Rattus norvegicus: one gene and its partner. The main gene of each other region encodes a partner of the protein of the gene in region 2 in a complex. Links are inferred from orthologs where the notes say so. Each region holds a gene or a part of one and is shown on either strand. Other genes may lie near its edges.

Region 1 (4,218 bases), on a different chromosome or scaffold from region 2:
GCTAAAATCCAAAGGATGAAATAAGAGTGGGGCTGAGACACTAGAGGACAACTTCATGCAGTGTGGGACAATCGATGTTATCGAAAACACGCTGACTCACACGGCTGAGCTGGCCTGTACGAGATCAAGGCAGCCAATATTCTAGCATGTAGTGGGAATGGTTCATGGGCCTACCTATAATGAGGAGCTGTGGACAATTGACGGCTTCTGAGAGAGGGACTGTCAGTGTTCTTTAAGGGTGGCCCCTGGTAGGTTGACCATGACCTATTGGATAGTCCCACAGGCCCAGGAGTAGTTAGATGATCAGCACAAACTGGACTTGATGGGTTATTGGGATGGGTTATGGGGGTGAACCCAAAGTTTGGAGGGTACAAATATGGGGGTGAACCTGGGAGGAGTTAGGGCAGGGGTAAATATGATCAAAATATATTTCATGAAATTCTCAAAGAATAAAAGTGTTAAAACTTTATGGGAATGAAAAGAAACTTGTGTAATGATTTAGTAGAGGAATTCCCAAGTATGGGCTCCCATACAGCTGACATTTTCTTTAATGGTACACACAAGGTAAGAGCTAATCTGCAGCAAAACCACCATCTTCAATCCCCCCCCCCCCCCGAGCTCACGCAGCCACTGGGGAATATTTAGATCCCAGATGATTTTCGTTTGTCCTGGGGGTTTTCTACAGGAGTCTCCTAAGCGGACTACTGTGCCGCCCTCTACCACAAAGAATGTTCGTGGTGTCACAAAGTGTCAGTGGTGGGAAACACCAGGCCAAAGCAAGTGGAGAAGCCTTCCTTTTGCTAAGCATTCTTGCCTTCCCCTTACAGTAGGCTTTCTTGAATGTACAAACATCAACAAAAGATATAGACAGTTTTTTACAAAGCTACAACAAAAGCAGGTCCTAGAGCCAAAGCAGGCAGCCCAGTGCATGCATGTTCAAAACAGACTTGACAAACGAGCCCATAGGTCCATGGCTCCTGCACTTCTAGGTAAAAACTGTAAGAAAAGAGCATGTAGGGTAGCACCCTCAGGAAACTGACTTGTAGGTTGGGTCATCTAGGGATCTGGGCCTTCTAAGTAGGCTTTTCAGTTCGTGCTTCTCAAAGGTCTTCATTCACAAAAAGATTTACATAATGGGTCTGGGAAAGGTGTATGCATACTCCGCACAGGACCGTCTTCCTTTGTAGGTGTGTTCAGTAGAAATTAAGGCGCAGGGACCTCAGACGCTTGATTAGCGGCTTCGGGTGCAGGGCGCAGCGCGCAGGCGCAGGAAAACTCCGAAGGGGCGGGGGGGGGCGGAGCTGCCGCGCGCGCAGTTTCCGCTGGGTCTCCCCGGAAGTTCCGAATCACCAGTACTGGAGGGTGCAGCAAGTGCTTCCTGGATCGCCACGGAGGTCACGAGTAATGTGACAGCGACTTGACAGGCAGCTTCAGAGAAGCGACTGAACTGCGGGAACACCGGGGCAGGTGGAGCGCGCGTTGCGTCTGCAGAGGTCGCCCCTTCTCTCAGCTCCGGGACAGGGTGGGTGGGGAGAGGTGGGCCGTCCGGGCTGGCCACCGGGCAGGGTCCTGGGGACCTCCCCACCCCCTTGACGGAGATCCAGAACTCTCGCTTGGCCCTGGCGAGGGTGGACCTCGTGATGCTGGCTGGGGCTGGGGAGGGTGAATAACCCCCAGGTGCGGGGGGAGTCACGGAAGTTTTCCTTCCAGGAGTGGAGACTGATTCTGCGAGAGAAAGGGGTTCATCATGGCGGATGTGAGTTGACACCCCTTCCCAAGAAAAATGGGGATGTGGGAGGTTTGCATGAGGCTTCTGAGAGGAAGCTAGAATTTTGTTCCGTCCTTAGCCTCTCCCCTCTTCCCGGATCCGGATCCGTAGTAAGGACTTGCAGGGACCTTAGTTTCTATCAGGAACGGTTGTGGTGGGGCACTCTTAACCCGAGAGAACTGTACTCTTCCCACCTCCTAATCCTATTGGAGCATACATGAACTCTGTGTGGGTAACTTCGGAAATTCTAAAGGATGACTGACTGCCCTTCCAGTCAGTACCTGATCCAGAGGACAGTGCTCTGAATACTTTCCTACCAAATAAATGCTTAGTGTCTCATTAGACTCAGCATTGCAATCTAAAAGGATTTCTAAAGGGTGCCCCTTTCGCAACCTGTATTCCGTTTCTGTGTGTCTGTTTAAGACGAGAGCAAAAGTTCATGGTGGTAACATGGGAGAGGATACTCATTTAGGTTTGTAGATAAAGGTTCAAAACAGGACACATTTAGACTGGAGGTCATAGTTATGCTTGTTGGCCAGGAATATTTCTAGATGCATGTATAATGAGAGAAGGTGGCTTTCTGTTCTCTTAGTCCTTACCACGTTCTCTGATAAATCTCCACATTGTCATTATCTTTGTCAAGAAACTGGATATTAAAGTAGTTTATCTGAATTAGGATCATTAAAAACAATCGTGGAAGATCAGTACGGACATAGGAAGAGATTTATAGACTATTCCTAAGGGGACACAGTAGCATCAGGATGTAAATTATTAAGAAACACATGGTCTCATTTTATAGTAAATAATGTATTTGTGTTTCCCAATTCCAAGTACACCAACATATATACCTTATGAAATTTGATTATCCCTGTATACATGTAAGGAAACATACAATGGATCTGAGGCCTGGAAAAAGGTTAATTAACTTCTCCCAAGTTATACAAGTAAAAGATGAAATGCCAGTTACAAATGATGACCTCATGTCCTTTGGGGTATGGACAGGGCTAGAAAAGCACACAGTAATATGATCTTTAAAAAATTATTCTCTTTCAGGATCTAAAGCGATTCCTATACAAAAAGTTGCCAAGGTAAGAAATTACTAATTTGTTGCTGAATAAATTCTGCGCAACATGTTAATCTTACAAAGTGTTTTGTTTCTCCTTTTTAAATTAATATTTTATAATTGTCATGGTAATTATTTGCCACGTTTTAATACAAACTAACCCCAAGTATCGTAAGTAATGACTAGTTTCTAGATAGATAACTCGAAGCCCAGGCTGTTAAATGACTTGTGTATGGTTCAACAGCAGATAGGTACTAGGGACAGAACTTAGATTTCTTGCCACTTTGAATTATTTTTAAACACACTATCATTGGTGTTTATTAGATTATTTTTTAAAGTTCTTAAGTAAATTTAAGAAAAAAAGCTTAAGACTTGCCATTATTTTCAAGTCTATTTTACTATTGGGACCTAATTGCTGGTCAACATAATCCAAAAATAGTTGGCTCAGAAAACAGTTCCCTACCTGTTTTTAGGTGCCGTTCTTACAAAGGCCTTAACAGGTGGTAACGTTAGCAGATTGCTTTTACGTATTTTACTGATCCAAAGGACTTTCTCACTTGAACTCATTGAAGCTCATTCTTAGTTTAATGTGAAAACAAAAAACAAAAAAAAAAAAAAACGATGTCTTTGTTGACAAGCACGTCTTTTGTCTACATCCACATCTTTCTACAAATAACTCAGAACTCGTAATCATTAAGGATGAGCAAGGAAGGTAGGGAAGAATGCCCGAGTCTTTGTTTTCACATTCCAGAACAAAGCAGCAGATTGGATTGAACAACCTTTGAGGTCATCAAGCAGAATATTCTATGAATATTTTTCTATTTGTGGAATAATATAAAAGTTATTTATATTATTTTGTCTAATCTTCCGAGTCTAAAGTTATAAGCGCTTGTGTGCAGATATCAGTTTACCTCTGTAGGTTGAAAAAATTAACACTGGTTTCAAGTTGCTTGAATTGTTGGATGTATGGCTTTTGCTTTGATTGTAGATCAGTGGAAATTAATAAGTGTGTTCTGGTTGTGATCTATATGGTGTATATAGAAAACACCATTGGCATGTTAAGTGAGACAGTGATAATTATCGATTTTATGTTAATGAAATCTTTAATTAATTTAAATTAATGTAATTAAATTTAATTTTAATTCTTTTTCTCATAATAAAATGGCAAATTATAGAGACCAGCTGCTGGTTCTGTTTTCACACAAATGGCCAACATGACAGGCAGTGACAGCTTTGCATGCTAACTAATGAATGGCAATAGAAACAGTGGTACAGGCTAAAACCATGCAGGAGAGGGTTAGTAACTAGTGGGGGAAATAATACTTGTTTTTCTGACCTTATAACATTTCAAAACATTAAAACTTTTCTCGTTATTGATTACTAATGC
Region 2 (4,045 bases):
GTGATCTATCACACCCCCAGCCCCTCACTGGGGGATTCTAGGCAGGGGCTGTACCACTGAGCCACGCCCTCAGCCCCTCACTGGGGGATTCTAGGCAGGGGCTGTACCACTGAGCCACACCCCCAGCCCCTCACTGGGGGATTCTAGGCAGGGGCTCTCCCACTGAGCCACGCCCCCAGCCCCTCACTGGGGGATTCTAGGCAGGGGCTGTACCACTGAGCCACACCCCCAGCCCCTCACTGGGGGGATTCTAGGCAGGGGCTCTACCACTGAGCCACGCCCCCAGCCCCTCACTGGGGGACTCCTGGGCAAGTGTTCTACTACTGACCCATGCCTTCAGCCCCTCACAGAGGATTCTAGGAAGATGTTCTACCACTAAGCTAACTGCTCAATCTTTGAAGGTTCCACTTGTCCCCAGTCTTCCCACTTGTCCTTGTCTGAAGGCTATGAACCAGAAACACCTACTTTGTCTTTGAAGCTTTCCCTCTGGCTACTTCTAGGGTCAATGAGAAGACAGTAGTCCAGACTTCTCTGGACAAACTGCTTCTACTCCCTCTTCCCACTGATTCTAAATGGGCCCTTTACTAGATTTAGTTCCTTTTGCTCTCAGTTTCTCCATCTGTATATTGGACCCATATTCTGTGCTTGTGGAAGTTTCATGAGAAAACAATGAGAATATTATAACAGTGCCTACATAATAAATGTACTATAACTGCTATCAGTCCATCTCACTCATCTCAGACCTCACTCATCTCCTGTCTATAGTCAGGCCATCAAAATTCCCTTTAGCTACCTCCTTGGTCAGCTTCCTTTTTTACTTTCTTATTTGTTCAGGTACCACAGTACTTTTCTGGTTTTCCCTGCTCAGAGTCCTACAGGATGAGTACATCAGAAAGGTAAGGTACATGCAGAAGTACTTTACCTAGTTATTACCAACATATATTAATACCTCTAAGATGTGATCTCTGGGCTGTGGCAATGGCTCAGTGGATAAGAGCGCTTGCTGTACAAGCAAGAGGACCTGAGTTCAAATCCCCTACCCTACATGGCCATGCTCACACCTGGAATCCCAGTACTGTGGGTGTACAGGCAGGTTGATTGCTAAGGCTTGCTCAGTGTTGCCAGTCTAGCTCCAGGTTCAGTATGAGACCCTGCCTCAAGGAATAAGGCAGAGAAGGGTAAGAGGAGGTCTCTAATGTCCTACACTGGTCTTAGCATATGCATGGGCACACACATGTGCAGACACTAAAAAAATAGATACAATGTCTATAGCCCTTACTTCTCATTGCTACCCGGCCAGTCTCTTAGATGGCTCTCCTGGGACAGTCATGCTACACCATTTCTGTGAGTCACATTTATGTTTTCAAAACCCTTTAAGTAACCCTCAAGATTTGTCCAAAGATATTGAAGCTAGCCATAGGAAGTTCAGTATCAGAGTCTTACCACAGCATCCTTCCTCTTCAAACTGTTTCAACACAAGACCACAACCAGGCGCTGTTACACTCAGGCAAGTATGTCCAGCTCCCAGCCCTGAGAATTCTCTTCCTCGTTCACAACCTTCTGTCTTAGCAGCTCAGCTCAATCCTTGCCTCTAGAGAAGTCTTGCCCCCGCCCCCCAAAATTCTAGGGGCAGGTGAAATGGCTCAGAGCATAAAAGTGCTTGCCTAAGGACCGGATTTCAATCCTCAGGACCCGCATGGCAGGAGGAGAACTCACTCCCAAAGGTTGTCCTCGGCTTTTTTAAAGATATCCCAAATAAAAACATACTACAAGTAACTAACTAATTGAATGACTTTGGTAAAGTTTGGTTTTTGTTTTTTGAGGCTGAGTTACATGTGGTCCAGACTGTGATTTGACTTGATACATAGCCAAAGATGAACCTGAATTTCTAATCTGCCGGTTTCCACCTTCCAAGTGCTGGGGCTACAGATCACGTGCCTCTGTGTTTGGTTTTGTGCAGTATTGGGAATTGAACTGAAGGCTTTGTACGTGCTAAGTAACTCACTCTCCTGACTGAGCTATAACCCCAACCTTTTGGAAATAAGCATTTATACCATATATCCAAACATTAAATATGGCAAGCAGGGAACCACAGAGAGGACAAAAGTAGACAACTGAGAGAAAGCGGGAAATATTTGAAGGGATTTCTGGGTTGTGTGTCCCCAAAGGACCCCGTCACCGCCACCACCCCATGCCTCGCTTTCCCACAACGCACCGCTAGCACTGCACCTTCGCTCAGCACCAGGTAGCCAAGCTGGTCTGGGATTCGTTCCAGCCCTTGGGTCAGTGCGGAAGTCTAGTGGGTAAAGAGGCAAGAGGTGAGAACCATGACAGCCTTGTAAACCCATCTCCCTCCTGGATATAAGCCTTTCAGACCCTCTAAATGGCTTGTAACACTGAGTCTCCATCCATGGTCACTATTGGACGCCTGAGCTCTTCCACTTGTCAGGCAGGTGACCCAGGAGACCTTCCTAGCTTCACAGCCCCTTCTCATTCCAGTGCCCTTATGCCCCGCCCCTTGTGCCATCAAAACTACTCCCGGCCGCAAAACACCCGGTAGCGGAGCCTTCCTTCTCCAGCCCTCCCGGTCGCCTCCCTTCCATCTCTGTTTCCTTTCGGTCCCAGGGTGGACTGGGGGTGACAGCGGAGTGCAAGCCATAAGGGGGTAACCGAAGTTTGGGGAACAGGGACGCGCAACCCTAGGCGCACAAGCCCGCGCATGCGTCCTCACTCACCATGGCAGCCGTAGGTGCAGGGGGAGCTGTCTACCGGATAGGTAGCTTCCGGCTCCAGGCTCCGGTCAGGTGGTTCACCAGCTGACTCTAGCCCAGCCCTTCGCTTGCGCATTGGATGGTGCGTACGTCATCAGACTTTATCAACCACTGCGGAGCGCCGCTTTCCGGACACATTCGTGGATTGGTTGCATTTCCTCGCCACTCAGGATTCGCCTGCGAGATTATCTGAAGAGTTATTGAGCGAGGGGCGGGGCACCTCTCCACCTCCTCACGAACGTGCGCGTGCGCCTAGGCTTCCAAGGAGAAAGTAATGCAGTCTAGTGTTGTAAAGAGCTTTCCCCGTTAGGTGTCACGGTTCAACCTGAAAAGAGAAGTTAATGTGAATGACGATGGTTTACACATGAAAAACTGTTCACGTGTTAATTTTCTGCCTTAGTATACGACCCAAATATGAATGGGTAAATCAAATTTGGTGTATATATGCACACTGTAGTATATTATCAATACAAGGGAAAAACGTCCTGACACCAAGAGCAACTTGAGAATCTCGAAAGCAAGTTAAAGCAAGCCAGAAGAATAGCTTCAGAGACAACTCAGCCTTTAGAGGCTCAGAATCAACCAGAAGGACTGGCTTGAAAGGGCAGTCACATAAGACCACATATTATGTGGTTCCATCTATGTAAGATGCTTAGCTGTGACTGACGCTGAATACTTGTAATACTGGTATAAATCCTGGGAAGCCAAGGAAGGGGGTTTCAAGTTCAGGCCAGATTGGACTGAATAGTGAGTTCAGTGCCAGCCTGAGCTACCTACCAGGAGCCTAACTAAAACACATACACTTCTGGCAAATCCAGAAAAACGTGAAAGCAGTTAGTGGTCGGTAGTGAGGCAAGAGAAAATAGGAAGTGCCTATTAAGGGGGGGGGGGGAGTGGCACGTGTGATTTAAACTTTTTGGGATTCGTATTGAAGTCTGCCTATCTTTGTGACTGTGACATAGGTTGTACACTTTGAATTAAAATGTTTCAAGATCTGTGAATTATATAACCCTCCCCCCCCCCCCCCTTATTTTCAGTGCCGAGAAGCAAAGTAAGGGCCTTGCGCATGCTGGGTAAGAGCTCTCCATCTGGTCTGTATCCCCAGCACTAATCATAGCTCAAGAAAGAAAGTCCTCCACCCCAAATCGTCTTGGTTTAGGAGAAGCAGCTAATTAGAGAAAATGCATGTCTTTAAAAATGAGGCATGGGTCTGAGTTTGAACACTTGCCCAGCATGCCCAGGCCCGGAATTCAACATGGCAACAATTTTGAAGT

Evidence for each region. Proteins that work in one complex are often made in the same cells at the same time.
Region 1: Lamtor4 (region 2) and Lamtor3 share a complex: the UniProt entries of both Homo sapiens proteins name them as parts of the ragulator complex. The link is inferred for Rattus norvegicus from reciprocal best matches to the Homo sapiens genes LAMTOR4 and LAMTOR3.

Annotation. Positions count from the first base shown.
Region 1 is NC_086020.1:229,083,478-229,087,695, forward strand, and holds the start of Lamtor3 (ragulator complex protein LAMTOR3), read left to right. Parts: upstream 1-1,412; 5' UTR 1,413-1,493; exon of another isoform or gene 1,494-1,522; intron 1,523-1,710; 5' UTR 1,711-1,747; coding exon 1,748-1,756; intron 1,757-2,821; coding exon 2,822-2,856; intron 2,857-4,218. UniProt on the Homo sapiens protein: As part of the Ragulator complex it is involved in amino acid sensing and activation of mTORC1, a signaling complex promoting cell growth in response to growth factors, energy levels, and amino acids.
Region 2 is NC_086030.1:22,371,031-22,375,075, reverse strand, and holds the start of Lamtor4 (ragulator complex protein LAMTOR4), read right to left. Parts: upstream 2,808-4,045; 5' UTR 2,739-2,807; coding exon 2,736-2,738; intron 2,297-2,735; coding exon 2,216-2,296; intron 1-2,215. UniProt on the Homo sapiens protein: As part of the Ragulator complex it is involved in amino acid sensing and activation of mTORC1, a signaling complex promoting cell growth in response to growth factors, energy levels, and amino acids.